Linked DNA regions of Coturnix japonica. The protein of the gene in region 2 purifies or fractionates together with the protein of the main gene of each other region. This does not show direct contact. Links are inferred from orthologs where the notes say so. Each region holds a gene or a part of one and is shown on either strand. Other genes may lie near its edges. The genes, in order: TMEM9, CLCN4 and TMEM9B.

What was found.
Region 1: the proteins of CLCN4 (region 2) and TMEM9 purify together in Homo sapiens (co-immunoprecipitation; 3 studies listed by BioGRID and IntAct, with this or other methods). This does not show direct contact. The link is inferred for Coturnix japonica from reciprocal best matches to the Homo sapiens genes CLCN4 and TMEM9.
Region 3: the proteins of CLCN4 (region 2) and TMEM9B purify together in Homo sapiens (co-immunoprecipitation; 3 studies listed by BioGRID and IntAct, with this or other methods). This does not show direct contact. The link is inferred for Coturnix japonica from reciprocal best matches to the Homo sapiens genes CLCN4 and TMEM9B.

Annotation. Positions count from the first base shown.
Region 1 is NC_029541.1:1,279,877-1,284,265, forward strand, and holds the start of TMEM9 (transmembrane protein 9), read left to right. Parts: upstream 1-1,588; 5' UTR 1,589-1,664; intron 1,665-1,693; exon of another isoform or gene 1,694-1,931; intron 1,932-3,425; 5' UTR 3,426-3,434; coding exon 3,435-3,527; intron 3,528-3,888; coding exon 3,889-3,980; intron 3,981-4,302; coding exon 4,303-4,389. UniProt on the Homo sapiens protein: Transmembrane protein that binds to and facilitates the assembly of lysosomal proton-transporting V-type ATPase (v-ATPase), resulting in enhanced lysosomal acidification and trafficking.
Region 2 is NC_029516.1:112,469,276-112,472,896, reverse strand, and holds part of CLCN4 (H(+)/Cl(-) exchange transporter 4), read left to right. Parts: intron 1-1,003; exon of another isoform or gene 1,004-1,081; intron 1,082-2,781; coding exon 2,782-2,933; intron 2,934-3,095; coding exon 3,096-3,195; intron 3,196-3,621. UniProt on the Homo sapiens protein: Strongly outwardly rectifying, electrogenic H(+)/Cl(-)exchanger which mediates the exchange of chloride ions against protons.
Region 3 is NC_029520.1:13,761,854-13,765,936, forward strand, and holds the start of TMEM9B (transmembrane protein 9B), read left to right. Parts: upstream 1-1,190; 5' UTR 1,191-1,315; coding exon 1,316-1,393; intron 1,394-1,534; coding exon 1,535-1,626; intron 1,627-4,083. UniProt on the Homo sapiens protein: Enhances production of pro-inflammatory cytokines induced by TNF, IL1B, and TLR ligands. Has a role in TNF activation of both the NF-kappaB and MAPK pathways.

The DNA.
Region 1 (4,389 bases), on a different chromosome or scaffold from region 2:
CTGACATTCCCCAAAGCCTAGAATACTTAATCTTCATGAAAGGCCCCTATTTACCTTATTCCTACTTTCATCTGGTAGGCCTCTATAGTCCTTACTCATTAAAGCACAACAAGGCTGGAACTCAGAAGATAACTAAGCCCACTGTCTGAGCTACATGGGACAGACACTAAGGAAAAACCCAGCAAGGAAAGGAGCAGAAAATGATCTCCTGGATGTGCTGTGTGGTCCCCCCCCCATTGCTACAAAGAAAGCATCCTCCCCTACACCACAGAACACAAGTCAATGCACACACACGAAAACAACCTTCAGAAAGAGGGACTGGAAACTTCCAAGCTCATCAGGTATTTGGCAGACTTGTCTCTGAGGTACTCACCTGAAAGACTGAAACCTGCATCCAGCGTTGGAGCTGCTTGGGTCATTTATTTACTCACTCCAGGAGGACTGCTCAGCATCTTGTCACTAGGTGAAGCTGTGTCCTGTAAGCACACATCCAGCTTATTCCAGTCCCACAAGAAGCACTGGTATATATAGTTATACTGCAGAAAAAAAACAAAGAAGGATAGATTACTGTGACAATAAAAACGTCAGAGCAGATAAAAATACCTCCTTACCAGTTGTGCTGGGCAAGTTGGCAACATAAGAGCCCTGTGGTCATGATAAAAACTCAGCAATTTCACAACATTGGTAGCATCCCACAGCCAGGGCTGAGGTCGTGCTCAGAAGTAAGAGCAGCAAGTTGCAGCACAGCAGTGCTTCCGCTTGGCAGCACTGGAGTAGGAGGAAGGAATTAGAAGTCCCTTGTGCACCTGATTGCCAGGATGATTCATCTGGAACATTTCCTTGGGTCAATCCAGCTGGAGCAGGCCGTGACCCTCTAATGGACTCCAGCTGAGTGTGTGGGGAACACAGCGTGCTGGGCCAGCACCTTATGCATGGCAGAGCTGGGGGAGAAAACACTCTTACATCAGGAATTCCCACACCTGGGTGCACTGCAGAACTGACAACCTCCACAACTGTACAAACCTTCAAACAGTCTCAGCTTGCTCATAGCAGCAAATCTCCTCTCAGCTGCGTACCACATCACACCAGAGGGGCATCCCCTGATTTACACATGCTTCCAGTTGAATGTATCTCACCACAGCCTCCTGATTTCCATTTTCAAACAGCAAACCCCAGAGACCCACACAGCCCCAGAGGGACCCAGAGATCCACTCAGCCCAGGGGGCCCCATCTCCCCCAGCAGCAGGCCGCAAAGCCAGGCCCACTGAACGCTCCCTCTGAAGACAAGGCCGCAGCTGTGGGAAGCACAGCGTTGCCCTCAGCGCAGCCGTAGGCCTGAGGCTTCTAACACAGAACCAGAGAGTGCTAAATGTGACTTATAACGGTAAAGCAGCCCAACCCAATCCGTTACTGCAGTGCTGTGACAGCGCTTTACCCTCAATACAGAAAGCGGGCACGCAGACCCACAGCTACACGTCATATCTAAACACCGAACCCCACGACCCCCCACCTCACACTGAGGTGCAGCACAGGCGCGGCCCATCTTATTAGAGCACGGTAGGCCTCTCTGCTTTCCGATTGGCCGAGCGCTCTGCCCGTCACGCTGCAACCAATGGGCGCAGGGCTGGGGTGGGGCTTGCAGGGGCGCCGGCGTCAAGCGGCAGGTAAGGCCCAGAGCGGCGGCGGGGGGCGGCCTGGGCGGAGGGGGGGGGGGGCGGTGTTACACGGCTCCTTCAGCGGGACGCTGGGCCTCATAGATGGGCGGGCTGCAGCCTGGATGAACGGAGAGGAGGAATACCGGGAAGACGGCCTGGGGCTGTGCTGTAAGGAGCGGAGCGTTGGGGGTGGGGGGTGGATCGGATGTGATGCTCGTAATCTCTGTGTAAACCTGACGGGATGTCGGCCCGGCTGCTGTGGAGCGTTGGAATAAGGTGAAGAGGGGAGAGGTGTGGATTTAAGGGGGTGTAAATGGCTGTGAGAACCGGAGGAGCTGGGGCGAGGTGTGGGATCGAGGTGTGGTAACGGGGGTCTGTTGGAGCCTGAGTGTGTAAAGAGAGCTCAAGTCTGACAGAGCTTCAGTGTGCAAAGAGCTCGAGTCTGACAGAGCCCTGTTGTGCAGAGAGCTCACATCTGTCAGCCTCAGTGTGCAAAGAGATCACATCTGTCAGAGCACCAGTGTGTAGAGAGCTCATATTTGTCAGAGCTTCAGTGTGCAAAGAGCTCATGTCTGACAGCCTCAGTGTGCAAAGAGAGCTCACATCTGTCAGAGCCTGTGTGTGCTAAGAAAGCTCACATCTGACAGAGCCTTGGTGTGCAAAGAGCTCACATCTGCCAGCCTCAGTGTGCAAAGAGAGCTCACATCTGACAGAGCCTCAGTGTGCAAAGAGATCACATCTGTCAGAGCACCAGTGTGTAAAGACAGCTCATATTTGTCAGAGCTTCAGTGTGCAAAGAACTCAAGTCTGTCAGAGCTTTGCTGTGCAGAGAGCTCACATCTGTCAGCCTCAGTGTGCAAAGAGAGCTTGCATCTGTCAGAGCACTGGTGTGCAAAGAGATCACATCTGCCAGAGCCTCAGTTTGCAGAGAGCTCATGTCTGTCAGAGCTTCAGTGTGCAAAGAGCTCACATCTGACAGAGCCTGAGTGTGTAAAGAGCTCACATCTGTCAGAGCACAGGTGTGCAAAGAGAGCTCATGTCTGTCAGAGCTTCAATGTGCAAAGAGCTCATGTCTGACAGCCTTGGTGTGCAAAGAGCTCACATCTGTCAGCCTCCGTGTGCAAAGAGAGCTCACATCTGCCAGAGTCTTGGTGTGTAAAGAGAGCTCGTCTGTCAGAGCACTGGTGTGCTAAGAAAGCTCACATCTGCCAGCTTCAGTGTGCAAAGAGCTCACATCTGTCAGAGCACCAGTGTGTAGAGTTCATATTTGTCAGAGCTTCAGTGTGCAAAGAGCTCGCATCTGTCAGAGCCTTGGTGTGCAAAGAGCTCACATCTGTCAGCTTCAGTGTGCAAAGAGAGCTTGCATCTGTCAGAGCTTCAGTGTGCAAAGAGCTCACATCTGGCAGAGCTTCAGTGTGCAAAGAGAGCTCCCGTTGCTTTGGATTTGTGCAAAAACAGCTCTCTGCAGTGACTTCATCCACACTTCTGTAGCAAAATCAGCATCACAACACCTACTTCAGAGCACTGTGATGCTGAGTGTGGCACCAGGAGTGATGTGTGGCTTCAGGGCTCAGTGAACAGTGTTTAGTTGGGGTGAATGTCTCCATGCCCCAAGCTCTTTGGATGGGGACATTTTGGGGTCTGTGAGTTGGGTTTCCAAGAGTTTCAGGTTGGCACCTCGATACAGGGAGAAACTTCCATTTCTTGGGGGAAATAACGTTAAGTTATTTAATTAAGAAGGTTCCTTTATGGGAATTTCTGTTTCCTCAGGCTTCCACAATGTTTGTCCAATGCACCTGGAAGTGTGCAAGCTCCATGCTGCTGATTGCACTGCTGAGCTGCGTCCTTTCTCCTCCAGCACAGGCTGGCAAGGTGAGTGAACAACTTCAGACACACTGAGTGTGGTACAACGGGCACAGAAATGGCAGAGAAGCAACTGTTTTTCAACAGAAATATGAAAAAGGAAAAAGAGCTGCAGCAGGTCAGTGCACACATGTGTATCTGTAACATGAAGGGCTGTGAATGTATGTGATGGAGGCCTCAAGTCTGTGCTTTGCAATACATCTGAGGAGAACCTGATCTCTGGAGAGAAGAAATAAGAGAAATAAGAGATGTGATGTGAAGTCATCTCTCTCTTTGGGAATGTTCTGCTGCCACAGCCTTATGTGTGAGGGCAGCAGAGCTGTACCCGTGTGTTTTAACTCACTAATGCTGTCTCCTTGTGCTTCTGCAGAGCTCAGAGGACATCCGCTGCAAATGCATTTGTCCCCCATACCGGAACATCAGCGGGCACATTTACAACAAGAATGTATCACAGAAGGACTGGTGAGTTGCCTGTTGAAGCCTGAGGGGTTGATCTGTGGAAGTCAGCACTCTGGGAGTGGTTTGCTGCCTGTGAATGTGCAGAGCAAGCTGTTTCTATAGGGGTTGCTCAGCCCAGGTGAGGGGTGTTATGCCCTTCAGTCCCCTTCACCTGGACTTTATCCCTGCAAAAGGTGCCTCAGTCTGTTCCAGGCTTGCTGTGGTGGCAACTCCAGTCAGCATTATCAGCCCAATAGGAAAGCTGGGTTAAATCACCACAGCATCCTTCCACAGAGCACTGGTTTCTCTTTGTCCTGTCACTGATTTTGGTTTCTTTGCATTGCAGCAACTGCCTGCATGTTGTGGAGCCCATGCCAGTGCCTGGGAATGATGTGGAGGCGTATTGTCTGCTGTGTGAGTGCAAGTATGAGGA
Region 2 (3,621 bases):
ACACTTCACATGTTTATCGGTTCCAATAGGTTTGTTTCTTCATTCAGCTTCCAGCAAGAATCAGTTTACATTTGCTAAAGCAGAATATTGATTAAAACATCCAGTTGTAGATTAAGCTATTCATGGAAAGAACCTTCTTTCCATGCTGAATTGCAGGGAATGAAATGGGAAATGTGACTCAAGGTCAATAAAGGCAAAATGATGGGGGTAATGACCCTAAGATCCCACAGAATGATGGGCTTCTCTTTCTCATGGAGTACATATTAGAGTTACAGCAGATTGCTCATGGAAAATGTTGGATGCATGCCCTAAGCAAAATGAATGCCAGGAGTTGTTAGGAAAGAATAGGGGATGAAGCAGGAAACATTTGCTGCTGCACAAATTGTTTCATCAGCACCTGAAAACGTAGTTGAAAGGACAGCAATGACATCTGAGACATGGAACTACAAAGGGACAACACGCGCACCCAAGAGTCACTCAGCAGCAAAACAATATTCAACACTTTCCAGTGTGTACAGGATTGCTGAGTATCCAAATTTCTTAGATATTTGAGTCTTAGGAGTGGCTAAGAGTTGCATTTATTGCTAATTCTGTGTGCAGTGATATTGCAGTGTTTTCTTTTGAATTAATGAGGCGGGAATGGCTACTTCTGATGTCTCTGTGATCTGTGGCCAGAAACTGTTGCTTATAGGGAACAATTTATCATCTCATAATAATGCAAATGTCTCTAATATGTGAGATAAGTTGCCTTTGAATAGCATTTCTCTCTCATCAGCTACAAAAGGAGTTTAGATTCTAGTGTCCAGAGCTTAGTGCAGATTTGTGATGCTAGATGGGACAACACACACTGTATTTGTACTTTTGCTGTCCTAAGAGTGGATTGCTACTGTGCACCTGGCTACAGTCTGTGTTTGGATGACATTCATTTGCCCTTAACATTTGTGTATTAAATTAAAGTATCCATAACTAAATTGTTAGTGTAAGGTTGTAGTTTTGCTGGCAGGACTGGGAAGTTCTCTGCAAGAACCTTGAGAGGAGAAGTTAACCCACCAATAGAAGCTTTGGAGACTGTTTCAGAAAGGTGAGATAAAGAATTGCCAATAAAGAGAAAGACAGTGGTACTTAAATGGTGCTTAGTGCCAGCACATAAGAAACATGGAATCTCTATACAGCCCAATTAAAATTGTTGGAGCCAGAACTGGTTTTTGTCTAATCTGACATCACATCTCTGCATTCAAAAGCACAGCAGCTGGCATGGAGTTTCAGGATGATAATAATCCATCTAGCTGCAGTTCCTAGATACTGAAACTATCTAGAGTTTGAAGTTTGTTTTCTGAGTCTTCCTTGGCCCTGCAGTCTCTAGCACTTCCTTGTGTCCCGGGGCATGCCGTACAACACGTATGTCTGGGATAGATTCAGGCTAAGATTGTAATTACCCACATACTTGTGGTCTGGCCTGCTATTATCCATCACAAAACTGTCATGTGCCGGGCATTGACAGCATACTTAAGAAGCTATTTTTTATGGGATATAACTAGCATATTGGGTAACTTTCTTGTAGCATTAAGGAGAACTTGCCAACTCTTTCAACACAGTAGTTTCCAGACATTTTTTATAAATCAGCAGTATTGCCTAGGCTCAAGCAAGCCGTCTGGACTGCATGTTCCTTACAGGTACTACTTGTATGGGAAGAGTAGGTTGAAGGAAATGACCTGTGTGCTACAAAATCATAGCACTGTCTGATTTTTCTCTTCATTCCAGCTTTCTAAACCAGCTTCTCTGTCTCCAGAGGCAGCCTAGGTAGTTCTTATGGTCTAGATACCAAACTTTCGGATGGATGAAATTAAGTTGCTTGAATCCTGTATGCCTAAAATACTTACTTAAAAGACTCTCTTGCTACTAAAGGTTCCTTATGTTGGGAATGATGTCAGCCTTTTCTGTAACCTGTTGTATTAGTAACTGGAGATTACTTATTACCTGGGAGAAGAGGCCAATCCCCACCTTGCTATAACCTACTTTCAGGTCATTGTAGAGTGATAAGATCTCTGCTGAGCCTCCTCTTCTCCAGACTGAACAATCAATCCCAGTTCTCTCCTCTGCTTCTCCTAAGTCTTTGTGTCACAGGTCCTTCACAGCTTTGTTGCCCTCCTCTGGACATACTCCAGGGCGTCAATGTCTTTCCTGTAGTGAGGGGCCCAAAACCCAACACAGTACTCAAGGCGTAACCTTGACACTTGGTCTTGTTGTACCTCATGAAGTAGGTATAGTTTCTGAGGCTTCAGGACAACGGGCATGGATGGTTCTCTGCTTTCATTTCCATAGTCTGAAAACCCAGATGAATGATAAATGGTAAATTTTAGTGTATTATCATTTGTCTTCTGAGTTAGTAACTTTGTCTTCTCAGTAGCCTCACCACAGGTAGGGCACCTTCCAACATGTGATCAGCATTTAACTTTGCAGAAGAAGCCCAGAACCATCCTGGGTTTTGGGGAACTATTGGCCAAAAAAAAAAAAAAAAATAATAAAAGCTGTATTTCTACACTTGGGCACTCTGCTTTTTTTGTGTTGGCTTTTAAGAGCTTGCCAAGCTCTTGAAGTGGCCTTCAGCAGTGTACTTTTCCTAATGGTAATGCATAGACTTCAGTAAGTGCCCACTAGAACTGCTGAGCCATGTTTTCTAGAGTTTGTGGTTTGTGGAGGGGTTTTGGAAGACTTGATTCCAACATGTCTGGCAAAACTGCATGAATTTACTGAAAAACTTGTTTTCCCTTCTATATACAGACCCTAATATGGTTAATGCAGGAGAAATGAACGGTTCTGGCAACCTGATGGATTTTCTGGATGAGCCTTTTCCTGATGTCGGGACTTATGAAGATTTCCACACTATTGACTGGCTGCGGGAGAAATCACGTGACACTGACCGCCATAGGAAGGTAATGGCTATAGCAGAGCGCCTCTACAATGTGGTTGGGACTGGAGGAAGCAGAGAGTAGAAGAATTTTTTAGCCTACTTTTGAGTAGATTCATTTAGCCTGATGCACTAAAATTGTGTTAGCCTGGATCAAAAACACAACTCTATGTACATATCGTTTCAGATTACAAGCAAAAGTAAGGAATCCATATGGGAATTCATCAAGAGTTTGCTGGATGCCTGGTCAGGATGGGTTGTAATGCTTCTCATAGGACTACTGGCAGGTATGTGTGTGCTACATTACTTTTTCCTGGAACCACCTCACTCAAATTTTCTGCAGTACCATTTGTTTCTCTCTTTACTTTGTTCTGTATTTGCTGATTTTTCAATCTAAAAAAGCAGTTATGTATCTATGCAGTTATAATACTTAATAAAAGCAGTCCCGTTGAGTGCTGACTTAGAAAAAAAACTATTAATCTGTAGAGGGAGTTTCCTTGAAAATATGTTTTTAAGTACTTTACACTCAATTGACTGCTTTCGCCTTCTGAGTCTTCAGTTCACACAGCCAGTTTTATTGTAGATCTTTTTTTTTTTTCCCTTGTCTTCACTTAGCTGCACTCTCCAAGTAGATGTTGTCATGTCGCGAAGGAAAATGTTCGGCGTGTACAGTCAAGTGGGAGCTTTGTAAATCATTATGTCCACTTGGATAT
Region 3 (4,083 bases), on a different chromosome or scaffold from region 2:
TCACCCCCCACTCACTTCTCCTTCAGCCCTGCTACACAGCCCTGAAACCCACCTCCACCATCTTAAGTAACAAGAGGCAGAACACAGCAGCCACACAATCACCACCATCTTATGTACCTCGGGGCACCATGCCGAGCAGCTTCTGCTAGCTTAACTAAATGCACAACACAGCAAGCCCTGCCATTTCTGCCACCTCAAGTAGAGGGCACCAACTCCTGCCAAGTCCACTACTTAAGTAGCAAGGGTCACCAATCCTTATGTAAAAAGAGGAACCAACCCCTGCTACTTCCGCCATCTTAAACAACTATAGGGACAACACAGCAAACCCTGCCACTTCTGCTCTTATGCAACATAGGAGCCAAACATCCTTGCTACCTCCGCCATTTTAGGTAGCAGGGCATGTGTACCCCTGTGACTTCTGCCATCTTAGAGGCAAAAAAACCCAGCAACCCAGCCATCTCCACCACCTTAAGTAACAAGTGGCATGATGCAGGAACCCCTGCTAGGACCAGCATAGGAGTATGGAGGAGAAAAGCATGGAAAGCTGAAATACAGCTACCAGAAGAGCTGTTCTGTTATCACACCCCATGACAGCCCTGACCTCCAGGTGCATGGTACTGTGCCAGACACGTCTCCCCATGGGACAGGCATGGGGCAGGCACGGGATGGATCCAGGCTGGCTCACTCGCCCTGGGACACCATGTTGTTGTTGCTGTTTTTTATTTAATAAAGCAAAACGAAACCCCAAGCATTGCCATGTGTCCAGCTGCATTACCGTGTGATGAGGATATTCTACATGTTGTTGTTGCTGTTCTTTATTTAATAAAGCAAAACGAAACCCCAAGCATTGCTGTGTGTCCAGCTGCATTACCGTGCGATGAGGATATTCTACAGTGCATATGAAAGCAGGGGGCGGCCGTGGGCAGACCTTGAGCAGACACAGACATTATATTTACACTCCCAAGCACTTGGAGAGGGTTTATTCATGGTTTCAAATGAGACCCAGCTTCTATTTCATACTTATTTTTGTTTGTTACTAACTCGTTAAACCGCGTATGCTTCTTAACGCCGGCTGTATTTCCTCTTAACAAAACCACGGTTAAAACAAACACCGTTTATTTAACGCGATATTAGTCCCTCTCCGCCCGGAACCTCGTGGCGCTGTCGCAGTTCCCCGCGGACCTCAATGAGGAGCGGACATCACCGGAAGAGAACGGGAGGAAGGTGGAAGTGATGGCGGCGGCACGGTAGTGTTGTTAATTAGGCGGTGTTGTGTTGTTAGGCGGTGCTTTAGCAGGAGAAGCCCCGGACCGACATGGCGGCCGGCCTCGGGGGCTGGCTGTGCCTCTGCGGGCTGCTGGCTGTTCTGGCGGGGCTGGGCGCACAGGCTAAGGTGAGTAGTGCTGTTTGTGTATTTATCCCGGTAATTGCTTTGAGCTCTTGAGATGAAGGTGGTTTGTTGTCAGTTCTTGGGGTCTGACATACTGTGTGTGTGCGCTCCGTGTCCCGGCTCAGCGTGTTGTTTGCTTTGCAGAATTCCGAGGACGTCCGATGTAAATGCATTTGCCCTCCTTACAAAGACCACTCGGGCCACATCTACAATAAGAACGTCTCGCAGAAGGACTGGTGAGTTTATCGTGGGGAGTTACAAACAGCGTGACTGTCTGTCAGCGTTCTGTGGCGATGACAAAAACATCTCTGCTACATCTCATTGCGCCTTCGCTTCTAAAAGCATTTCAGAATTGAAGAGATGAGGGTTTTCACCCTTAATGTTTCTCCATCTTCTATTTTGGATTGCTTTGTTTGCCTGTTTTTAGTTCCTGTTGCATAAGGCTTGGAGGTAGTAGAAGGAAAGGGGTGTTGTAATTTGAATTCAGTGACCACAAGTGGTATCATGGTGAAGTAGTGTATCTGTTAATCTAGGATAGGGATTGTTTTCTCCTACTTCTCTGCTCTCAAAACCAGTCCTGTTGTTCAGAGATTGTTTTGGAGGTTTGTTCCTCAAAAATCACAGTCAGAGAATGCAGTATAGTTAGCAGCACATTCTCTCTCCTGTGTATAGAGAAACCTGTGTCTCAGCCACGTACTGTGTTGTTTTGCTTGGACCTACCCATGGCATCTGTCAGATTTAAACTGAGCTGAGGACCAGTGTATGTGGGCAGGGATGAGCAGCTGGGGAAGAAAGGAAGATAGCACTGATTTAAAGCAGCATGCTTTGGAGTTGCTGTGATATCCAAAGTGCTCAGGAATTTGTGGATCAACCTATAAAAATGTGAAATATGTTTTGATATGTCGACTCTTTTCCTTATATACCAAGAATTATTAGTAGGCTTTTTGGTCTGTTGAATAGCAGCTGGCTAGCAGCTTGATTGTGAATAATCCATACCCCTTAGTAATCCCACCAAAACAATTAGAGGAATGAAGTTAGTGATACAGATGTGTATTAAGAGCTGTGCCTTGACTTACTGACTTACTTACAGAAGAGCTGTGAGAAACAACACCATAAATTTCAATCTGTGTTAATGAACATAAAATGTAGTGTCTAATCTAAATTACTGTTTTGTCCCATGTGGTTAGCTTAATGTGATTAGGCCTGCTGTGACAAATTAGTCATAGTCAATGCAGTAGTAAGACATACTGAGAGAACTGCAGCTGCAGCTGGCATTTCAGAGTGACTCTGTTAATGGCTTAGTTGCCTATTACTCCTCTGCCTATTAAGTGTGGTTTTTTCAGTGGACATTGCTTAGCATGTGCCCTACTGCCAGAAAAGGCCTTGTTTCACTTTAAATCGTATTGGTAGTGATTTAAGGAAAAATTAACTTTGTAGTCTTGGCTCGTTTCATGGTGACAGGTAAATGGTGCTTACAGGATCTCAGAAACCTATTTTCTGGTCCTAAATCTTATTTTGTTGGGGTTGTTTCTTGTGAGACCACTTGGGAATGTTTTGGTCTTCTTGTTTGAGTTGCCTTCTTGCTACTTTAAAAAGGCTTCACTGCTTGGTCATGTGCAACAAAGTAGACCATTTTAGTGTCACACTTGGGCTTCTGCATCTGTGCCAGTGACCTGTTATTGTATAGAACAGGGTGATGTGCTCTGCCCTTCGGGCATTTACATCTGTCGCTCTGAGGCAAGAGTCAGATCAGTGAGTTACGTTCAGTATGATCACTTACTGCCTCCTTATCTGGACTCCAAATCTTTAATATTGAGCTTAATCTTTAATATTGAACTTGTAGCCTGCATTATGATACTCTTATTTAGGTACTTCTGTTCTTTTGTTGGAGAGGTCCTTCTTTTTCATCCTCACAGACTGCTAAACAATGCCTTTTGATAACATCAGTGTGAGCTGACAGTGCTCCAACACCAATAAATGTGTTTTCCATTTGAGAGTTTGGAGCTACTGCTGACACTTCAGTCCTGACAAACAACACACTAGGCAAGCATTGTGCTGTGTAAGACTAAGCACCTACATGACATTCAGTTAAATAACCCACTTTGAGAGAAATGCATTTATATTTCATGTCTAGAGGCTGATTGCTTTAATAGTCAAGGACATAGTGGGAGGGAAGGTGCCCTGTCTGCTTTGGTGGATAAACTGAAAGCTGACCTGAAACTGTGCTTTTGGCTTGCCTTGATTTGCTAGGAAGAATAGCTTCATTGGTGCTGTTATTGTTGAGTGGGAACACCCTTTAGGAAAGGGTCAACCTTTTCCATGTATTCCTCTTAAACTGCCATGGAATCACAGTCCAAGGAAACATATAATCCAAACTGAGAGCTTTTACCCTCCATAGCAATGTGAAACTGAACTAGAGAAAAAAAAACCTTGCTGATATTATTTGATATATTCACAGTAACAGATATTCTGCTGTACCCAAGCAGCGTACTGGCTTTCTTCTCTACTTGAGCAGCATATTGACGTAACCTTTACAGAAATTTCTTCGTTCATAACTTGTATGTATTTCTGATTTTGCATTTTAAATGCAGCACTATTTTGCAGAGGAGTTTGTACTTCTCATGTCAAATAAATGGAAAAAAATGATCCCTCCATGCCTCTTTAGAGATTGAGATGCAGCACTCAGCAGTTCT